Linked DNA regions of Astyanax mexicanus. The protein of the gene in region 2 interacts with the protein of the main gene of each other region in a pairwise test. Links are inferred from orthologs where the notes say so. Each region holds a gene or a part of one and is shown on either strand. Other genes may lie near its edges. The genes, in order: gucd1, ngly1 and trafd1.

What was found.
Region 1: the proteins of ngly1 (region 2) and gucd1 interact in binary tests that used the Homo sapiens proteins (3 or more experiments, as listed by UniProt). The two-hybrid records come from large-scale screens. The link is inferred for Astyanax mexicanus from reciprocal best matches to the Homo sapiens genes NGLY1 and GUCD1.
Region 3: the proteins of ngly1 (region 2) and trafd1 interact in binary tests that used the Homo sapiens proteins (3 or more experiments, as listed by UniProt). The two-hybrid records come from large-scale screens. The link is inferred for Astyanax mexicanus from reciprocal best matches to the Homo sapiens genes NGLY1 and TRAFD1.

Annotation. Positions count from the first base shown.
Region 1 is NC_064419.1:13,459,233-13,467,270, forward strand, and holds the start of gucd1 (protein GUCD1), read left to right. Parts: upstream 1-4,983; 5' UTR 4,984-5,636; coding exon 5,637-5,643; intron 5,644-5,911; coding exon 5,912-5,996; intron 5,997-8,038.
Region 2 is NC_064410.1:736,441-743,679, forward strand, and holds the start of ngly1 (peptide-N(4)-(N-acetyl-beta-glucosaminyl)asparagine amidase), read right to left. Parts: upstream 3,073-7,239; 5' UTR 2,809-3,072; coding exon 2,708-2,808; intron 149-2,707; coding exon 34-148; intron 1-33. Other genes in the region: nutf2l (nuclear transport factor 2, like), read left to right, coding at 6,837-6,935. UniProt on the Homo sapiens protein: Specifically deglycosylates the denatured form of N-linked glycoproteins in the cytoplasm and assists their proteasome-mediated degradation. Cleaves the beta-aspartyl-glucosamine (GlcNAc) of the glycan and the amide side chain of Asn, converting Asn to Asp.
Region 3 is NC_064429.1:29,422,536-29,430,437, reverse strand, and holds the start of trafd1 (TRAF-type zinc finger domain-containing protein 1), read left to right. Parts: upstream 1-4,818; 5' UTR 4,819-5,513; intron 5,514-7,207; 5' UTR 7,208-7,210; coding exon 7,211-7,245; intron 7,246-7,522; coding exon 7,523-7,658; intron 7,659-7,902. Other genes in the region: traf2a (TNF receptor-associated factor 2), read right to left, coding at 2,553-2,740. UniProt on the Homo sapiens protein: Negative feedback regulator that controls excessive innate immune responses. Regulates both Toll-like receptor 4 (TLR4) and DDX58/RIG1-like helicases (RLH) pathways.

The DNA.
Region 1 (8,038 bases), on a different chromosome or scaffold from region 2:
ACTGTCTTGGTGGCATTGGATAACAATTTAATTTGCTGGTTTTATAGGACTCTGAAATCAGGTTTTTTCACAACTGAATAGACATTTTTCCTAAGCTTGGTATCCAATTACTCCAGAATGATACAGTAATATCATTTGTTACTCATGTCATTAATAGTTTGCAATGTGTTCTTCAAGACTGTCTTGGTGGCATTGGATAACAATTTAATTTGCTGGTTTTATGGGACCTTAAAATCTGGTTTATGCACAACCGAACAGAAATTTTTCCTAAGTTTGGTATCCAATTACTCCAAAATGATACAGTAAAATCACTTGATACTCATGTCAATAATAGTATAGAATGTGTTCTTCAAGACTTTGTTAGTGCCATTGGATAACGATTTGATTTGCTGGTTTTGTAGGACTCTGAAATGTGGTTTATGCACAACCGAATAGACATTTTTTCCAAGTTTGGTATCCAATTATTTCAAAATGATACAGTAAAATCACTTGATACTCATGTCAGTAATAGTATAGAATGTGCTTTTCAAGACTTTATCAGTGGCATTGGATAACAATTTGTTTTAATGGTTTGTAGGACTGAAATCTGGTTTATGCAAAAGTGAATCAACATTTTTCGTATGTTTGATATTTAATTACTCCAAAATGGTACAGTAAAATCACTTGTTACTCATGTCATTAATAGTTTGCAATGTGTTCTTCAAGACTGTCTTGGTGGCATTGGATAACAATTTAATTTGCTGGTTTTATGGGACCTTAAAATCTGGTTTATGCACAACCGAATAGACATTTTTTCCAAGTTTGGTATCCAATTATTTCAAAATGATACAGTAAAATCACTTGATACTCATGTCAATAATAGTATAGAATGTGCTTTTCAAGACTTTATCAGTGGCATTGGATAACAATTTGTTTTAATGGTTTGTAGGACTCTGAAATCTGGTTTATGCAAAAGTGAATCAACATTTTTCGTATGTTTGGTATCCAATTAATCCGAAATTATACAGTAATATCACTTATTACTCATGTCAATAATAGAATGGAATGTGTTCTTCAAGACAGTCTTGGTAGCATTTGATAACAATTTAATTTGCTGGTTTTACAGGACTCCAAAATCAGGTTTTTGCGCAACCAAATAGACATTTTTCCTAAGCTTCGTATTCAATTACTCCAAAATGATACAGTAACATCATTTGTTACTCATGTCATTAATAGTATGGAATGTGTTCTTCTAGAATGTCTTAGTGGCATTGGATAACAATTTGATTTGCTTGTTTTATAGGACTCTGAAATCTGATTTATGCAAAAGTGAATTAACACTTTTTGTATGTTTGATATTTAATTACTCCAAAATGGTACAGTAAAATCACTTGATATATATGTTGTTAATAGTATAGAATGTGTTTTCCAAGCCTTTGTTAGTGCCATTGGATAACAATTTGATTTGCTGGTTTTATAGGACTCTGAAATCAGGTTTTTTCACAACTGAATAGACATTTTTCCTAAGCTTGGTATCCAATTACTCCAGAATGATACAGTAATATCATTTGTTACTCATGTCATTAATAGTTTGCAATGTGTTCTTCAAGACTGTCTTGGTGGCATTGGATAACAATCTAATTTGCTGGTTTTGTGGGACCTTAAAATCTGGTTTATGCACAACCGAACAGAAATTTTTCCTAAGTTTGGTATCCAATTACTCCAAAATGATACAGTAAAATCACTTGATACTCATGTCAATAATAGTATAGAATGTGTTCTTCAAGACTTTGTTAGTGCCATTGGATAACGATTTGATTTGCTGGTTTTATAGGACTCTGAAATGTGGTTAATGCACAACCGAATAGACATTTTTTCCAAGTTTGGTATCCAATTATTTCAAAATGATACAGTAAAATCACTTGATACTCATGTCAATAATAGTATAGAATGTGCTTTTCAAGACTTTATCAGTGGCATTGGATAACAATTTGTTTTAATGGTTTGTAGGACTCTGAAATCTGGTTTATGCAAAAGTGAATCAACATTTTTCGTATGTTTGATATTTAATTACTCCAAAATGGTACAGTAAAATCACTTGTTACTCATGTCATTTATAGTATGGAATGTGTTTTTCAAGACTGTCTTGGTGGCATTGGATAACAATTTGATTTGCTGGTTTTATGCGACCTTAAAATCTGGTTTATACACAACTGAATAGACATTTTTCTAAGTTTGGTATCCAATTAATCCAAAATTATACAGTAATATCACTTATTACTCATGTCAATAATAGAATGGAATGTGTTCTTCAAGACAGTCTCGGTAGCATTTGATAACAATTTAATTTGCTGGTTTTACAGGACTCCAAAATCAGGTTTTTGCGCAACCAAATAGACATTTTTCCTAAGCTTCGTATTCAATTACTCCAAAATGATACAGTAATATCATTTGTTACTCATGTCATTAATAGTATGGAATGTGTTCTTCAAGAATGTCTTAGTGGCATTGGATAACAATTTGATTTGCTTGTTTTATAGGACTCTGAAATCTGATTTATGCAAAAGTGAATTAACACTTTTTGTATGTTTGATATTTAATTACTCCAAAATGGTAGAGTAAAATCACTTGATATATATGTATATATTAATAGTATAGAATGTGTTTTCCAAGCCTTTGTTAGTGCCATTGGATAACAATTTGATTTGCTGGTTTTATAGGACTCTGAAATGTGGTTTATGCACAACCGAATAGACATTTTTCCTATGTTTGGTATTCAATTACTCCAGAATGATACAGTAATATCACTTGTTACTCATGTCATTAATAGAATGGAATGTTTTCTTCAAGACTTTCTTGGTTTCATTGGATAACAATTTGATTTGAAGGTTTTATAGGACACCGAAATCTGGTTTATGCAAAACCGAATATACATTTTTCCTAAGTTTGGTATTCATTTACTCCAAAATGATACTGTACAATCAGTATACATGCATGACATAAATAGTATGGAAGGTATTCTTTAAGGATTTCATGTTCTGATTTAAGAAGAATTAGATTTTCTTTTAGATTTATAGCACTCCGAAATAGATAGTTTTGGTATTCAATTACTCAAAAATGATACAGTAATATCACTTCAAACATATATCTGGGATACATGAGAATAAGATCTTTAAGAATTTAGGGATGTGATTTTATAACAATTACTTATTTAATAACACTCCAAACCTTTTCAAAACGTTACACTGTTCTACAGATAAGAAGTGGTCTTTCTGGTGTATATTTGTGGATTAGATCTCGTTAAATCATTTTTATTTAGGTGTAAAACTAGTTTCTGTTCCATTTTAAGTCTCTGCACGAGAAGCGCCAGTCTCCGCTCCTCCGGGTGCGCTGTGCACGCTGCTACAGTAAAACACGGTTTAGACGCGCACTTCAGTTTTCGGTGTAGATAGCGCGACCGAGCGTTTTCTAAGTGCAGATGGCGTGACCGCGGTAAAAAATGTTTAGCGTGTTTTGCCTCGGCATATCAGAGTGGAGTTTATGATGACGTGCGGTCTCAGCAAATCAGAGTGGCGTTGACTGGTTGAAATCAACTTAACAATTTTCCACATAAATTGCATTTCCAAATAAAAATAAAAACATACGTAAATAAATACCTACATTCGTTAATTAATTAAATAGATAAAAAATATAATACTCAAATAAATAATTAGAAATAAATGATGCTTAATCATAAATAATCTATATTCATAGTGATTAACAATATTGATAACAACAATTTTGACATACATTTAAAAATAAATATATTCTTAAATAATGTTAATTTCCTGCACCTGTATTAGACGTCCCCATGACGTCCAAAAAAGTGACCTAGTCCGACGTTCAAATGTTTAACTGCATATTGACGTCCAAGTGGGGTCATAGTTAGACGTCCAAATAGCGGACCTAGTTTGCACGTCTTGTAGACGTACAGAATTGGTCTTGGACCGACCGACGCAATATAGACATGATCTGCACGTCCATAAGACGTCTAATGTTTAGTGGGTTATTTCAGCACGAAAAGGGCGGATTCAACTGAGTCGGCTGTATTATGTAGGATATGTAGTATTATGTAGTTTATAGATATATAAATACTTATAGATATTATAAATATTATTTATATATTATATCATTTATATTATTTAGTTTATATATATATATATATATATATATATATATATATATATATATATATATATAGTATTATTTAGTTTATATATGTAGTATCATGTTTATGTTGTTATATGTTAATAGTTATAGATATATAAATACTTATATATTTATTTACATAAACTAAATAATATATATAGTATTTATATATATTTATATATATATATAAAAATACATAATACTATATAATATATAATATATATAATAAATAATATAACATAATACTTTATTCTAATTTATGCTCTTTTTTCCAACTTCATTTCAAACGCCCTTTTATTTGTTTATGTTCAGTTCCACCCGTTCACATTTAAAATATTTAAGTAACTGGCTCATTTCTCAGCTCTTACTTTGGTTGTGGCGGGTAGAATCTCAAACAGGAAACAGGAAATACTATAGAGATATTTTTACGGCTTTCTACGGCTCTGGACTGTCCCATTTCAGTACTGCCATCGCAGCCTACACATCGAAGGACACACCTTCGTAGACTGCGTCCTTCGAAGAATGCAGCCCCTGAATTGAGACATAGATATAGACAGACACCGCCTATTGGAGCTGATTTTTCAGCACGGCCGCCATTTTAGATGGGTCTCCCGTGTACCCTAAGTGAATTTATTTGTACTGAGGAAGGTGTATAATACAACTATAATAATCACAACTTTGTTTGGTTTGTTACAAACGGCAGATATGTAGTTATGATACAGGACGCTCACTGGAACATTAATAGGAAACATGTTATAAATATATCTAACTGATATATGTATAATATATACTCTGTTGCGTGTGCTCTGGTGCTAGAATTGAGTGGAGACCCAACCAATATGGCGGCGATTTTGGATTTACGCTCCAACCAATAATGTGGCCGGAGTTGGACGCCAACCACTCTTGAATGCAGCGAGAGGCTAGACTTATGGACCGGCTTGGCAAGTAGTACTAGTGTTTTTTGAACAGGCGTCACCAAAGCAGCCCGAGGGGCCTTGCGATGGGGAACCAGGACGGGCATATAGGATTGTGCATCGGTTAAAAACAGTAGCACACAAAGTAATATTAGATATTAATGGTTATAAAATCAAGGTAATATTAGTGTTACTGGCCATAAGTGCAGGGCAATATTAGTTTTACTGTTTATTAGGGCTGGGTAATACTAGTGTTACTCGTTATTACTGCTGGGTAATACTAGTGTTACTGGTTATTAGTGCTATTCGGCTCTACTCTCATAACGCTTTCAGAAGGACAGAACAGCGCGCTGAACTAAAGGTAGACTTTAAAGTTAATAGTAGTTAACCAGGGTAATAAGTAGTGTACTGGCTCTAACCCAGCGAGCTGAGCTAGGGCTGTTTGTGCGGGTGAAGCCGGGGATCTGCTTATTAAAACATACGTTAAACCGTAGAATGAAGAACTGCGCTGGATAAATGTTAATGGGAAAGTAACATTAACTAGCTCAATACATCATGACAGGTAAGCTATGCTAAAAGTTTTGTTTTTAGGGTAGCTTTACTAACCTTCGTTAAGCTAGCTTTCTACATAGGTTCTTTGAATGTCTTGTTTAAGTGATACTTTGCCATGCCTCAGATTGTGATTAGATGTTCAGGGTATCTGCTTCACATTCACTTAGCAGATGGATATTTACCTGGTTAATCTAACTAGCTAGTTAATTTTCTTGATTTTGCCATTAAAGTCCAACGACAGATGTCCTTGTTATCTTAACCTGCGAACTATTTTGTAGATGATGTCGTTTTATTGAACGTACCAATAATTCGACAGCTCTATCACTGGGATTGCGGACTGGCATGTTCTCGGATGGTTTTAAAGTAAGTACAGAATCACTTTTTCTTTTTTTTTTTTTCTTTTTTTTTTTTTTAATCTCACATCGCAATTACTTTGGTTTTCATTCGAGGCATATGTTTCTCCGGCTGAGCTGCTGATTCAGAATAACGGGAAAATGTAAGGAAATGTGGAAAGTAATATAAACTAAATAATATATTAATATAAATAAATATACTTCCAACTATAAATAGTTAGTCTGGCTCAAACTGATCTCATACTTTAAAATGTCGTAACACTCTTTTGTGTTGCATTGCACATACAATCATTTCCCAAGATATTGAGAGCTAATTTCTTTTATATTTGCTGTAGACTGAAAACATTTGTCTGGGATCAGATACATAGCTCAGAGGATAGCACCTTCTGTCTGAACCCACCCATATTTGTTGTGAGCAAAAGTACATGAAAAACATGAGATTGGCAAGTGTGTTTTGTTGCCAAGGTGTCTCCTGATACATACATTTTTCAAACAATAAATAGTGCTGAATGTCTGTACAGATTTGGGTTTTATCTTCGCAGACTGTGCATTTATATCATATATATAAGTAACCAGTATGAAAACCAGAGAGCTGTCTATGGTAAAGATCAGAGCCATTGACCAAATATTGGCCATAGCAACCATTTGAAAAGTAATAAAGAAAAGGCATTTTCATGAAAATATTTTAATGAATAAAAGTACAGTGGCTTCACCAGCAGATGAAAACCACTATTAACCTGAAGAATAAGAAGGCCAGATGCACTTTAATTTACTTTAAGCTTATCTGTTCCAATCATTCTTCTCACATGAATAATGGGTTGGTTTACACAAAAAGCTTCCATCCTTTAAACTCTGTCAGATGCAGATATAAATACATATAAACATATATATATATATATATATATATATATATATATATATATATATATATATATATATATATATATATATATATAATATGTTGAAATGCCTGAAAAGTTTTGTCTACCGAAAAAAAAATTATATGAAGCTAAGGTTCTATAAGGATAAAAAAGGCTTATTTACAGTGGCTTGCAAAAGTATATACCTTATACATTTGCCATTCTAACACATATATAACATATGGAGTTATATATAATGTATGGAGTTTCCTGGAGGATTTTGATAGATTTATCTAGAACCAGAACTGATCTTGTACTTAAAAAAGGTTTAAGGTCCTTAGCTGATTTCATATATAAAAAAATATGATTTGTGTGGCATATTTCATAGTAGAGCACATACAACATCAAAATGAAGCAGGTTCTTGCTACAATTTAAATCATTGGCCCTTTTACAAAAGTACAGCCAAGAGAATATGACTCTCTGGAGCAGATCAGTAAACATTAGCCTGTTTGCACCATGCCTAATACCAGGCCCTGTGGAACAGTGCAACTGTGTTCTCTGAAATGAAGGTTCTCTGTCCAGTAATTTTACGAGTTGGGAATGAGGTAGGGTGGTGATCCAACATCCTGACCTTGCATATGCTTTTTTTATTAGTGCCATTAAATCCTCAATGCTTTACATTTTAGTTGAACGTCTTCTCTGGGCAGTAAAGACAGTTACTCAAAAATGGCAGGATACATTTTTTTTAATATGCTTGAACTCAGAAGAAAAAATGTCCCAATACTTTGTTCATGAAATGTACTTCTAAAACCTCAGTTTTGCCATATTGTCAGTTAATTATAAAATATAAAAGCAGTTTGTGTAATGCCAAGATTTTATTACTGTAAAAGTCTGTGACTTGATTTGAGAAACAGTACCTCACAAAAGTGAGTGCACTCCTTACATTGCTGTAAATATTGTATGATACCTTTCAATTGAACAGCACTGAAAAAATTATAGTTTGATTCAATGTAAAGTAGTCAGTGTCCAGCATGTATAATAGTGTAATTTATCTGTGTCCTCAAAATAACTCAACACACAGCCATTAATGTCTAAACCACTGGCAACAAAAGTGAGTACATTTTCCTTCTCCAATGTTATGCGGTTTGTTAGAGTTAGAGGTGTGAATGGGGGCAGGGTTATTATTTTGTT
Region 2 (7,239 bases):
AAACGCTCTTAATATACAGTAAAAAACAGATACCTCCTCAAAGCCCATTTCAAACAGGCATTCGACTGCTCCATTTATAGGGAGAAGTTTGGTGGAGAAGGTTGGGTTTCCTAAACGGATTGATCTGTATTTTTCCTCATTCGGATTCCTGAGGATAGATAAACACATAATTATGAACTGAATATTAAACATAGAAAATTCTGGACCTTAAGAACAGTCATGCAGAATTCAATTCTAAACCGTAAACCAACTCCTACCAGCATGCCTAGTGAATTCCAGATTAATGATTAGTTTCCATGCAGTCCTGCTAGTAGAGGTGTGCCAAAAAATCGATTCACATAAGAATCTTGATTCTCATTTACTACGATTCAGAATCGATTTAAAATGTCCCAAAATCGATTCTAAGGTCCAATCCCATTTCTTCCCTTGGCCCTACCCCTCACGGTAAGTTCACACTGCAGCGGCACGAAGCGTTTTTCGCTCCGCCTCCCACTGCCCAAAGCGACCGTGGCCGCTGCAGTTTGAACTTACCGTCAGACCCACACAGAGCGTAGGTGTATGAGAATCACCGGTAAGATGGCAGAACAAGCACTATATTACCTTAGATTAACGTGTAGTTTTAATGTTTTATGGCAGAATGCTTCATAACAAGCATAAAAAAGATCGCTAGTAGTTAGTTTCAGTTTCTGTTAGCTAGCTAACTAGCTAACTTTCCAGTTCCACCTTAAATAACGCTACAGGTGGCAGCGGGCTGCAGCATTTAAGGCGGAACGGAAAAATAACAATAAGCTAATCAGAGCTAATTTCAGCTCCCCATCACAGAGGAATTAAGGAATGGACAATATGAATTAATTTCTCCACCTCCTGCCCCCTTTCTGAAGAAATACAACGGCCTAAAATTAACTAGTTAATCAGCAGCTGCTCCTGAACTTTAGCGCTCCACTGCTATCATCACATCAGCCCAGCAGCGTCACCTACACACCACCGCTAGTAGCCTTATAATAAAGCAGTGTTATTTATTATTTATTTATTGTTCATTAACGTCATTGTGATATCCCAGTGATTCCTCTGTCACTGAGGACCCACATTCCTGCACATTTTATTGTTTTTGTAACACATTACCTTCTCCAGGACCAGTGTATATTTTGGAGGCTTTTTTTTCAATAAGTTTTCAATAAATTTTTATAAATCAAATCGTTTTGAATCAAAAATCGATTTTGAATCGAATCGTGGCCCCCAAAATCGGAATCGAATCGAATCGTGAGATAGTAAAAGATTCCCACCCCTACCTGCTAGCTAATCCACATTTTGTTATTACCACAGATATACAATTACTGAGGATTAACAATTAAAAGAAAGCACAGCTAACATGATATTAAACATGTAGTGGACCACTCTGTGGTATACACTACTTTCCAACTTTATTATTACACAGTTGATGCATGTTGTAGGGTGTAAAAAATGTTTGTACTCGTCCACTGCCTAGAAAAATACCAGGTAAGTGGTGGTCCAATAATATTCAATTTTTTCATTGGACAAAAGGAACAAGGTAAAAGGAGGCTGATAATTCTGTCTGCGACAGTGAAATCAATAAATCAGTCAGCGTAAGTCAGTATTTTTATCGTCCTGCGTTCAGATAAAATCAACCGTGTTTAATAACATCGTAAGTCTTGAGACTCGGCTCATGCAAATAGTGACGAAAAGTGAGCAATGTGAACAACTAATAGAAGAAGAGCTATAGGAAACTGCATGGCAAGAATATTTTTATGTGACTGTGTTTACAAACGATTTTAAGAAAGAACACATTTTGCAGTTAATATGCCTTATACGGTTCTATCTTTAATATGTAGAGTATTTTAAACACAGGTAGCACTTTAAAGTTATTGTATTTAAAGGTATTTCATTGTGCATGACTTATAATGTCTTATTGTGCAGTGTTGATTTTGACACAAACCAGTTTCATAAATACATATAATAAAATTTGGCAAGACTGATGTTCTTTATTGCATTAATTCTATATAAAACAAAAGTAAATGTACAGCAGTAAAACTGATTCTTTGTTTTACAAGGTTGTAGCAAAAAAAGCGGGTAAAAAAAAGCTTTTATTTTGAACACAAAATGTATTCTATTAAAAATATTAAGTACAAACATTATGGCAAAAAACTGTTAATGGGGTCTTTGATTATAAATTCAATAATATAATATGTGATATTTATTTTATGTAAACTCCACCAGAAGCATGATGGGAAATAATCTCAGAAAGAATCCAGATCCAGTCTTGCAAATAGTGATTCTGCAAGATTTCCAGTCTTTATAAAATCTTATTCTGTGAGTAAAAAGTCTGTGATTGTCTTTAGTTGTGAGAAGACATCAAAATCTAGTCTTTTTAAAGTCTGTTTAAAGTGGTGTAGAGTTTGGACAGCATAAGGATGATGCAGCATTAGCTAGATAATTTAGCTAGAATGATAAGACAGTTTTTTATTCGCAAAAATCTCCGTTTATTTCAGGTTTAGAACTTCATGAACTACAAAGACTTTTTCACCCACAGGTTTTCAGGTTTAATAAGCTTTAATAAGGCAGTGTGTTCGACTAGAAATACAGTTTTAGATAAAATAAACAGTTTAGCTCCAAAGGAAAAGCTGCTAAGCTAATCTAGCTAACGTTATTTAGTTAGCTTTAGCTAAATATGAAGGTTAATCGGTTTTACCTGAGAATATTGTCCGCATAAGTTAACAGTAATTTCGACACATCCAGAAACACCTCGTTGGGATTTTCACACAGAGCAGAAATCCCCTGAAATCCAGACATTTTTCACACAGAAACTGTTTACACTCCTTTAGCCTGACGATATAAGATAAAAGTCACGGAAACGTGATTAATAACTCAACTAACGGTACTAAAAATGCCCTGAAAAAAAATACTAAACTCAACCGGCAACATTGACAAACTAATAAACCTCCACTGTTATATTTTACTGTGTTAAAAAAATCGACATATTTCTATGTAACGTTAACTGAGTTAGCGAACTGTGCGATAACGCTACGCTCTTCACAGCAGCCCAAACACTGACTCAGCCACAGATCCTCTACAGAGGAGACTAGCAGCTCACCGAGCGAGGTGATCAGTCTAACGTTTAGCAGTTTAGCAATTTTCTGACCGTATCAAACTAAATTCGAAAATAGAAAATGAAGGTATTAATATATAATCTACAAGTTTTATCAATTCTTATATTTGTTTAATTAATATAATTAATTATATTTTCCAAAATTAAGGAAAAGTCCTGAATAAGTAGTTAGTCACTATTTTTACCGCCAGAGGGCGCTCTCGAGTCAGAGCAAAAGTACTTTGCTTATATGGAGCAAAATAATAATAATAATATATTTTAAATGTTTAATCATTTTAATTGTGAAAAAATGTAACACTTTTCTCAACACAGAACAAGATCACATGTCTCAGCACCGCAGACATAATTTTCGAAAGCTTTTAAAGTCCAATTATAAGCCTTTAATCTTAAAGTGCCCTGGCTGTTTCTCCAAGCCTCTGCTTACTAACCAGTATTAGCGAACAGTTGCAGTAATGCAACACTATTACTAAACAAAACAAGAATAACTAGTTTATCATAGAAAGACTGATGTATTTACAAGTTTTCTTAGTTTTTGTTTAGCGAAATACTTTATTATACATTCCGAAATTAAAGACAAATCCTGGATAAGTAGTTACTCAGTATTACTATAACATTATTGGGACATATGGAGCAATTATGCAAAAAAAAGAGTCATGTTTGATAAATGTTTGATAATATTAAAAAATAAAAATTTAATAATTTCCTCAATAAACAACAATCACATATTTTAGTACCAAATGTACATATATTTGCCTCAGTGGCGGACTTAGCAATTTGGGGGCTCAAGGCGAATTTAGCTAGGGGGCCAATCAACATTAATATGCAAGAAATAGGGTTGTGCCGATGGATGATATCATCGTCCATCCTCATTTATGACCCAACATTGCGATGGATGGTAACCATCACGATGCCACGCCCACTGTTTTGTTTTTTCCAGAAACATGCACTGACCTTCTTTAGGTCTCCTTCACCTAAAACTTTAGCAGGGATTGTACAGAAAAAGATCAAATCAGGTATATAACTTAAATGAATTAGAGTCAGGGATGAAAAAATACCCAACTGCTACAAATATGCCTAATTGGCATATTATTCTATTATTTATTATTATTTATTATTATTCTATTATTATTTACATCTAGGTTACAGCTTGTCTTCTCTTAGTTTTTCTACATGTCTGTATTAATTTTAAACATTTCATGTCATTCATGCTGGTTTGTGCCAGGAAACTTGCTCATTGTCAGCCAGTGTTGGGCACGTTACTTTGAAAATAAATTATGTAAATTCTATTATTATTAGAAAAATAACAAACAAAAATAAACCCAAAATGTTGACAAAAATATAATCTAACGAATTTCAAAACATAGAAACGAAAACTTTAAAATGGTATTAATATAATATAATATAATATAACAACTGAATCAAAACAGTTTAGCGTCAGTCATAGCCTAAGGAACGCACGCGTCAGTCAAAAGGAAAGCGCGCGGCATTGCGATTTAAAAAAAAAAAAAACGTTTTAATAAATAAGGTCCTATCAAGTAAATTAAAATATATGGTATTAAAAGGTATTAAATTCACATGTTTATTGAAATGTAATCAAGAGAAATCAGGCAAAATGCGCTGAGCTGCTGCTGCTCTCTCTCCCCCTCCCTCCCTCCCTCCCTCCCGCAGCACAGAGCTAAATTCAGCGCGAGGCTAAAAATAATATAACAACTAAAATTAAGATGAGTGAGGACCTGTAAAGTAATAAAATATTGTCAAATATAAAGGATAGGTAGAGGTTTTGGTGAGCTGTTTCAATTATTTGAAACTGAAACTAACTGAAACTGATATTATTCTGTGCACTATTATATAGCTTTTGATTGTGTTTTAAATGATTTTTATTTTATATTAATTACTTTTTATTCATTTTAAATATTTTTAGTATTTTATTGATAAAAAAAGCTTATCAGTTTTGGAAGAGCATCTGTTTTTAGTTTAGCCTCTTCCTTCTTTTTTTCTTTTTGTAGCAAGTGGTGCTTCATGGCTTTGCTCAAAACCCACTTGTACACTTAATTTCACCTTAATTCCTCCTGTAGGTTCACGGCATGGCCACATGGCATGAATGGAATATTCCATTTTAACGTGAAAGAGGGGGGTGTGGACTGAACTGTATTTCTTTGTAATTTATTGTGTTGTCTTTGTTTCCATTTTAAACATACAAGAATCACCATTTCCGAACGCACTATCTGTGAATTACTGTCCAAAGGGCCCCAATTACCAGCTGTAGGCCTATGGGAAGTTTGCTGCTAGTCAGGGGGCCCCTACAGTGGGCTGCAGTGGGAGGGGCCCAAGGCAGTTGCATAGCAATGCCTTTATGCAAAGACCGCCTCTGATTTTCCTGTATCTCAAGCATCATTGCACCAACAAGTCAATCAGCTCACAGGAGCAGTGATGCTAGTGTCTTTACTGCCTAAAATCCGTTTACTTAAGAAAAACTAAAATATACAGGTAAGTTTTATTTGCTTTTTATGAAAAAAAAAAAACAACCATTATAATTTACTATGGTAAAAGAGTTTATGACCAAGTAGTTAGTCACTATTTTTAATTCGCTTTCTTAGCTTTTAGCTCCATTTAACCCCATACATTGAGCACTCCCTCGCGGGCTCCCTCTAGCGGCAGAGATAGGAAATTGGCAGTCTCTCCAAGAACCGGCTCTTGACTCAGATACTGCGGCTGCTTCAGAACTACGATGTCGTCAAAATAAAAGTCTTTTTTAAAACGCAATACATATATATTTGTTTTAATTATTATTATTTAACCATCGTTTAATAATTTATTTTATAGTAAATAAATATAGATTGGATCGAAACTTATTTTTTTATGCGTATTTTTTTAAACAAAATACTTTATTATACTTTTTGAAATTAAAGAAAACCCCGGGTAAGTAGTTTTTTACTATTTAAGTGAATTTTCGCGCATGATTCAGACCAAAATTATTGGATTCATATGGAGCAGTCAAACATTCAAACGTTTAATAATTTTCATAATGAAAAATGTACTAACTTCCTCAACACAGAATAATCGCATATTTTAGTACTTAATATATATAGTTTTTTGTAACCTTTAAAACTGTACCCAGGCATCTTTCTTTTCCCATTTTTCTTTTTCCATAATATATATATATATATATATACGGAAAGGGGGATACTAAAAAGAAAGAAAAGCCTGGGAAAAAAATATGAATGAATGACTTCATCACTCAAGTTTTAACACGATTTCAATCACAGGGGTGCGTTCACTATTCAGGTTTTGACGTGTTCAACAGCCGAGATATATTCTTAACAAATAGATAATTATTTAATTTCACACATTATTAGAAGATTATTTAATTTGCGAATATTAAAATGAATTTTCTGCAGAATACTGTGAGTTTTCGCTGATCCCGATACTGTATTTCAGGTAATCAGTGTGTGAGGAGAATCAGGTGTTTTGTGAACGCGCTAAAACGAGCTTTTTTCCCTGTACTATCGGCGGGAAACTCGGCGCTGCTCGTGCTGTTTTCTCTGTGTAAGAGTATTTTGGTGAGTTAAAGCTGTTTATCTCGTTTTATTTCAGTTTACCTCGCTGGTTTATGTTTTATCAGTTGGGGAACCAACATATTTCCCACACTGAGTGTAAATATATGATTATTTTCAGGGTTTAATCTGAATATTTCCGCAGCTCGGTTCTCCTGATGGCGGAGAAGCCCATGTGGGAGCAGATCGGCACGGGCTTCGTGCAGCATTATTACCAGCAGTTTGATTCAGACCGGGGGAAACTCGCAGATCTGTATGTAAGTGAAGTTTAAATATATAAAAACTCTAAATCTGTAGAAAAAGGGTCTAATCTCGCCCTGTGGGCGGATTTAACAGTGTTTAGGAGCTGCTGTGGGAGATAAACTAGCTATAATTAACGTTATTCTGTTCAGTCCTTCAGTCATTCCACATTTTATTAAAATAATTATTAATTTTCTGAGGTAACACATATATATCATTTTTATATTTGCTATATAAACCCCTGTGTTTCCACCACTGGTTATACCTCATTGACTGAATTATGCAAAAAAAAACTTCTTTTTTTTATGAATGAAGTAACGT
Region 3 (7,902 bases), on a different chromosome or scaffold from region 2:
CACTGAATGATTAACTGTGCACAAAGAGTGGAATGTTATTATTACAACATGTCGGATTGTTGACCTCTGATGAAATTAGGTGATTTTTTTTTATAGCAATGTCAGTTTTCTGTCTACCGTGCTGCTCTAACAAGAACAGAACTGATTTGTCTGACTTGTAGGACTTGTTTTTAAAACAAAAAAAAGTATTGATGTTATATATATTATATAGATGCTTTGTTAGCAAAAACCTTTCATTTATGAAAATGAACGCTAAAAATATCTTTGTTTATGAGTGCAAAATATTGCACTGTCAGGTTTTTATTTGTCTAATATCGTGCAGCCCTAGCTAGAACAATTGAGTTGTCTCAATACTTATCACAGAAACAGGGCTGCACAAAATATTGTTTTAGCACAATCATCATGATGTGCATGTCATGCTACAACTTTCTCTATATAAAAAGGGAAAATTTGCATTTTCTCTGACATATCACCCGTATTTACATTTACAATTCTTGGTGTAATATCAATTGTCCTAGCTAAGGCTGCACAATCTTGGGGGAAAAAACTGACACTGCCATATTTTACACTTTTAACAGAAAAATAGAGAAAAAGACCTGTATAACATCAAATATGATGAAGAAAGACCTGTGTTATTAGCTGAGAATGGGCAAAATATACATCTGACAGTTTTAAAATATATATGCATTGCATTGTCAGTTTTTTTTACCCAATATTGTGCAGCCCTAGCAAGAACCAGTATTTAAGAATGATGAAGGTAGACACAGTAGATACACATTGTGATGATGACAATGCTAAAACAATATATTTTTCAGCCCTAGTTCTGGCACAATACTGAGAGAACAAACTGAAATTTTGCAACATTTAGCAATATAAAAAATAGAGAGATAAAGATATTTTAACTGTCAAATTCATATTGTGCTAACCAAAACAACTGTTTAACATGATGAGTAATGAAGAATGACCTGTGGTGGGTATAGCGACAAATCAATTGTTCTACCGATATTTAACACTCATAAAAACAGATATTTTAGCTAGGGCTGCACAATGTTAGGGTTAGTTTGCACAGTTTTTAATGTCATTTTTTTAACTAGCCCTAACACACTGTGATGATAACGATGCTAAAGCGATTGTGCAGCCCTTGTTCTGTGATGAGGATTGTTTTGGTTGGGGCTGCATAACCAGTATTAGACCAAAAACTGCAAAAACTGACATTGCTATTTTTTTATATTGTTTTTTTTTTTTGCATTAATAAAATTTTTAAAATATGAAGCAATGAAAAAAGATATATAATTTTCAGGAACTGAAAGGAACTGATAGGATGTATATTGTGCAGCCCTTGTTCTGTGGTGAGGATTGTTTTGGTTGGGGCTGCACAAAGAGTATTAAATCAAAAACTGCAAAAACTGACATTGCAACATTTTTATATATTTTGCATTAAAACAAAATGTTAATAAAATTAACAAACATTAATAAAAGTGATAAATTTTAAGGAACTGTAAGATTGATAGGATGCAAAATGGACAAAAACAACAGTAGTAAAACATCAATAATGATGAAAAAAAGGATGTGTGGTAAGTATTAAGACACAATATGAATCTGACACAATTTCTGTGTTTTTAATGATTGCAACACAATATTCCTAACACAATTATAATGATGATGACAATGATAAAGTGATATATATACTGTGCAGTCCTAGTTCTGTGGATTGTTTTGGTTGGGGCTGCACAAAAAAAACTGACATTGCAAAATCCTGTTATTTTTTTTTTTTTTTGCATTAATAAAAAAAAAGGTAAAAAAAAAATAGTAAAAATATGAAGCACTAAATAATTTTCAGGAACTGTCAGATGCAAAATGGACAAAAACAACAGTAGTAAAACATCAATAATGATGCAAAAACTGACATTGCAATTTATTTATTTATTTATTTATTTTTGCATTTTTTGGAATTAATAAAACAAAAAAATGTTAATACAAATAAAAAACATTAACAAAAGTGATTAATTTTAAGGAACTGTCAGATTGATAGGATGCAAAATGGACAAAAACAACAGTAGTAGAACATCAATGATAATGATAATGATGAAGAAAGATGTGTGGTAGGTGTTGAGAAACAATACAAATCTGTCAGTGTATACTTTCTGTGTTTTTATGAGGGTTAAATATCGCTAGAACAATTGATTTGTCTCAATACCTACTACCACAGATCTAATCTGGCTGGCAACAGAGCACAATATAGCTCAGCCAGCTGGCCAGCTACACCCCAACACACTCTATTGTTTGTCTTGTAGCTGACAGACAGCAGTTCCAGTGCTAATATCAGCACAGAAACTAGTTTGTGAGGAGAATGAGAGGGAAATTTCATTATTAAAGGTTATTATATTTATTCTAGTCTTCTTTTGTTGTTGTGTTTAATGTGAGGCAGGGCCAGGCTGTGTGTATCCAGGCTTGATAGATAAGCTAAGCTAGATAACTAAGCTATAACGCTATTAGCCAGCGCTAACCCAGGCTATAGTTATAGTAAATCCCACACACTGGCTGGAGCTTACCTCACGGTCTTGTTAAAACAATAGGAACAGAAGCGGTGTCCGCACTGCGCCTGAAACGGCCTCCTGAGGATCTTCTGGCAGATGTTGCACAAATGCTTGTCCTCAAGCTTGTTGGCGAGGATTTTCCTCGGGAAGCCAGGTTTGTTTCCTTCTAGTGAAGATGGTGGGGACGGTTCCTGTGCAGCCATTATTCCCAAACGAGCATGTGACCTGGCTATGGAGAGAAACGAAAGCAGAAAATCAGCTCGTTTTTCAGCCTAAAACCATTAAACCAAAGCTTTCCCAGCACGACCAAACCATTAGCCATCTTACAAGCCTGCTGGAGAGCTCGCTGGTTCGTGCTGTCATGCTTGGGACGAGGCTAAAGCTGAAGAAGTTGAAGCTGAAGCTGCTTTGCTCGCCAGCTTGTTAGTTCTATGGATTTTGGTCCGGTCCACCTTAAACGCTGCCATTAGCTCTAACGGGGGCCACCGTTACTGGCGACGCTTTGTTCACGGCGAGATTTAAGGTGGACCGGAGAATTTGAAAATAACAAGCCTCCAGCTTCAGTTTCGTCATGGTTGGTTAAATACATTCAGTAGACAACAAAATACGTTTAATAAATGTTTTCTACACTGTGTTTGTGTCACGTAGCTAACCCTGGTTCAAAAAGAAAAAAAGTAAGAATCCATCCCAGGTTTTTTATTGTTTAAACTGCCCGAGCGACTCTGCTAATATGCTTTAGGTAGAGGTGAGTAATAATCCAGGTCCATAAATTAAAAATCCATACCAGCATTGCATTTCAACTACATCGGCGGCTATGTTACTGTGTTTTAACCCGGGTCCGGAAAGTAAAATTCCATCCCAGGATTTTTGTTCAAACGTTGTAGCTATGAGAGGTGTGTAATCCAGGTCCAGGTTTATGTTTTATAGTCATATGGTATTTATATATATTTTACACACAGCAGTTGGGTAAAAAGGCTGCGCATAGTAGGGTTACAGCGTAGTACTATTTTTTTAATATAGTAGTTTTTATTTTTAATAAATATACTCCCTTCATAATTGATACATACACAAACATTAAAGTCAAAATAAAATGACTTCCATGAGATTTTCAGTGATTTTTATATTTTACACTTTTTCCTCAACTGAAATACAAGGATGTTAATTTATGTTTTCACCGTGTATAATATATAAGCTTCTTGTAAGGTTGAAAAAGACTGCTTACTATTCGTAAAAAGGGTAATAATATTCCGAAATTAATTTAAAAAAGGAAACAATATTGTTTACTCTTGAGTTTTTAGCCTGCATTTTTATTCTGCATTTTAGTCAGCAAAATGGCTAAGCTTTTAAGTGGCTGTTAATTATTATTATTTTTTTTTTAATCAATATAAAAAATGAATTTGGGTTACGGTTTCTGGTTGCATCTACTGCTCAGCTGTATGACAAGTAATCCCCTTGAACCATTTCTCATTTGTTCATTGCTCATTAAATAGCCAAAACAACCGTCATATGTTTTTTGTGTTTGTTAAAAAAATGAAGAAAAAAAGTATTTTACGAGGTTGACTATATTGATCCTTTGCCTGTCCTTTTATTTTCATTATTTTCTTTTAATATTCTTCGTATTTATTTATTCATTTACTATTTTTACAGTTTGTCAGCTGATCAGTTTATCATAATTACTGTAAAGATTATTGTTTTTCTAAAAAACAGTTCATATTCCTGAATAAAATAAAAAAAATAAAAGTCTTTGTCTTCATATAACATTTTGTACCATATCATTCAGCTCTATCAGTGCTTAATTACATACATAATTAAAAACACACTTCAGATTTTATTTTCCTTTTCATATTTGTATGTATTTATTGATTTACATATTTTTATTTGCACAAATGTTTTTTATTTGTTCTTATCGACTGGTCAATATTATTTAGATATCTATGGTTGTGAAACAGTTTGTCGGCTGCTCAGTTTATTATAGTTACTGTAATGATAATTGTTTTTCTAAAACTTTTTCATATTCCTGAATATAATAAATGAATAAATAAAAAGTTGTAATTTTAATTAACATTTTTACCATATCACTCAGCTCTATCAGTGCTTATTTACATATGTAATTAAATACATACTTTTAATATTGGTATGTATTTATTCTTTTTTTATTGTGTATGTGGTGTTTATTTGATCTTATACTGTATCTGTAGTTGTAAAACAGTGCTCAGTAGCTCAGTGTATCATAGTATATATATAATAAAAACTGCTTTAATTTATGCACCAGCAGTGTGTAAGACTGGTGGAGGAGAACATGCCAAGATGCATTAAAACTGTAATAAAAAAAACATGGTTATTTCTGAACTCTTAAAACTTTATAATTAAAAAATTGTTTTCTTTGCATTATTTAAAGTCTGAAATCTAAATCTTTTTTATTTCAGCCATTGTTCCATTGTTCAGCCATGTTCATTTACTCAAACATAAACCTATAAATAGCAAAATCAGGGAAACTGAAGTGGTCTCTATTTTTTTTTCTAGCTGAGAGCCTGATATAAAGTGGGACTTTTATTTTGAAATTAGCGAGGGAAGAGGCGGAAGAAGAGTGTGGGCTTCCTCCTCCGACACTGTTTCTAGTTTCTCGTTACCGAAAGCAAAACTCTGAACTGTGGGCTGTTTTTATAATGAATCAGTAATTTAATAAGAGCAGCGCGGCGGATTAACGCTGAGCGCGGTGTGTACTGAGGTCTGGCTGTACTGCCGCCGGTCAGACAGCTTTGTTTTAAGGTATTATCCGCTGTGTTTATCGGTGTTCAGTCATGATCGGCGTTAACGGGAGATAAATCTGCTTAACGCCCCGAAACTGCAGAGCTGAACTCTGATATATAACTAACTAAATAATCAATAAATCTGAAGCCTGAAGACGCTTTCTCCTTCAGATTAACACTGCCCGGACCCGCCGCTTCTCCTCTCCTCAGCGCTGAATAAGAAAAGGTAAGATACTGATACTGTTAATTATGGATGGAAACATTAGCCCGCCTGTCTCTGTCTTAGATAATTACTCTCATCTAACTGAGAGAGAGAGAGAAAGAGCTGCAGCTCAGGAAACACAACACCACACACACAACACATAAACACATACTACAAGAAAAACACACAACACTAACACATCACACATAGAAACTCAACACCACACACAGTACCACACACACTACACACAACACCACACATATTACATAAATAAAATGAATAAAAAAATGTTTTTTGTTATTTTTGTACTATTTTTTTTTATTATTTTCTGTGTTTTTTGTCTCTCTCTTATCCAGTGGTCAATTATTTAGGTACCTGTAGTTGTGAAACACACACACACACACACACACGACCACAAAACACTACATAAACACACACTATACATACATATACACACACGCACACAACACCACACCACACACAGCACCACACAAAGACACACAACACCACAAACACTGCAGCACACTCACACTAGGGGTGGGCGATATGGTCCTAAAATAATATCACGATATTTCATGGTATTTTTGCGATAATGAAACTCTTGACGATATGACATAACACTGATTTTTTTTCCCCAAGAATACACTACTGCACAATACTAATAATGCACTCCATGTATCTCCAAGACTACACATACACCACACACACTACATAAACACACACAGCACCATACAAATACAAAACACTATACATACACAACTGCAGTGTAATGTTAACATAATAGCTAGGATCATGCAGAGCCTGTAAATGTTTCCACACAGTTTCATTGCTACATTTTTTTGTCTCTAACCATCTTAGCTAAGTTTCACAATGCATTCCTTTTGCTAATTTAATTAACCATTATCTCATTATCTCTGTTTAGTAAGTCGTTCCCTCAGTGTAATGCATTATTTCAGTCTAATCAATTATTGTCTCAACTTGGTAAATTATTGCTTCATTGTAAATATACCGGTAAGTAATTCTTCTAGTTTTACTAATTCATCCCATTAATTTAATAAAGTGTCCCGTCAGTTTAATAAGTAACGTAATTTATTTAATAAATCATTGTTTTATTTGCAATGTTGTAAACTTTAATAAATAATTATCTTAATTTGATTGAGCTATTTTCTATTTTTGTTTTTTATCTTAAATTTGTATGTCTCTTAATATAATAATAATTCCCTTGTTTAATAAGTATGTCCTTCAGTTTGATGTAATTATTTTTGTTTAGGCTTTTCCTCAATTTGATAAGTCAGGTTGATAAGACAGTCAAAGTCAAGTCAAAGTGGTTTTTATTGTCATTTCAGCTATATACAGAGTACACAGTGAAACGAAACAACGTTCCTCCAAGGACCATGGTGCACATAAACACAGTGTAGACAGAACAATAGTGCAACAGTACAAAAGTGCAGACAGACAATACAACACAATACAAAAGACAGGTCTTTTCTGTAAGATAAAATAAATTGTCTTTACATTTTAGAAGGTTTGCTTTAGTTAAATTGTGGGAACAATGTTTTTAATTGAGCCAATTATTAATCAATGGAGTGTTTAAAATCTTGATACTCTAAAGACTCCTTTTGTTTTACAATGTAAATATTAATGGTAATTGTTTTTACTCACCAGAGAATGTGTAATACCTCTGAGACATGTCTTCTTTGGTCTCTTTGTTTGCACAGGTTATGTCTGAGGAAAGCACCCAGCTCTGCACCAACTGGTTAGTTTCATTTTCCTTTCTTTTGCTTCCACCCTTTGTTTTTCATTGGCTCTCCTTATGGAGAACAAACAGTTTTCAGGGAACAGACTGTATGAATCACTAAGTGCTTTAATAAAGGAAGGTTGTCTCAGGCATGTTCCAGTACTTACATTAAAGTGCTTACACAGTCCTTTCGTTATTCAGTTTTTAGGAATGCACTGATTTTTTAAAAATGATCTTTAAACCCATTGTTTTTTCTTTCCTGGTTCTCATTCTTTCCTCTCATTCAATTCCACAGCAAGCATGACATCCCAGAGGCCAACTTCACCACTCACGAGATCCACTGCCGACGGAACATCGCCCTGTGTGACGTGTGCCAAGAGCCGGTTCCCCGTGCTGAGCTGATGCAGCATAAAGAGCAGGAGCACTCACAGGTAATTCTAAAAAATAGGCCAGGCCCCATTTTACCCCTTGATACTAGCACTTAGCCTCTGTTTTGCATGTGCATGCCTAGGGGTAGGGTGAGGCAGTGAGTGAGTCAATGAGTCATAAGCCCTATCCGGATGGGATTAGTTTCTCAGAGGGTTCTGGGGTAATTTTCTCTTTTATGGGGGGTCCTCTGTGATTTTATTCCAGCCGGAATGAATGGTATGTGTTTTTTCTCTGAGAAAATGACAG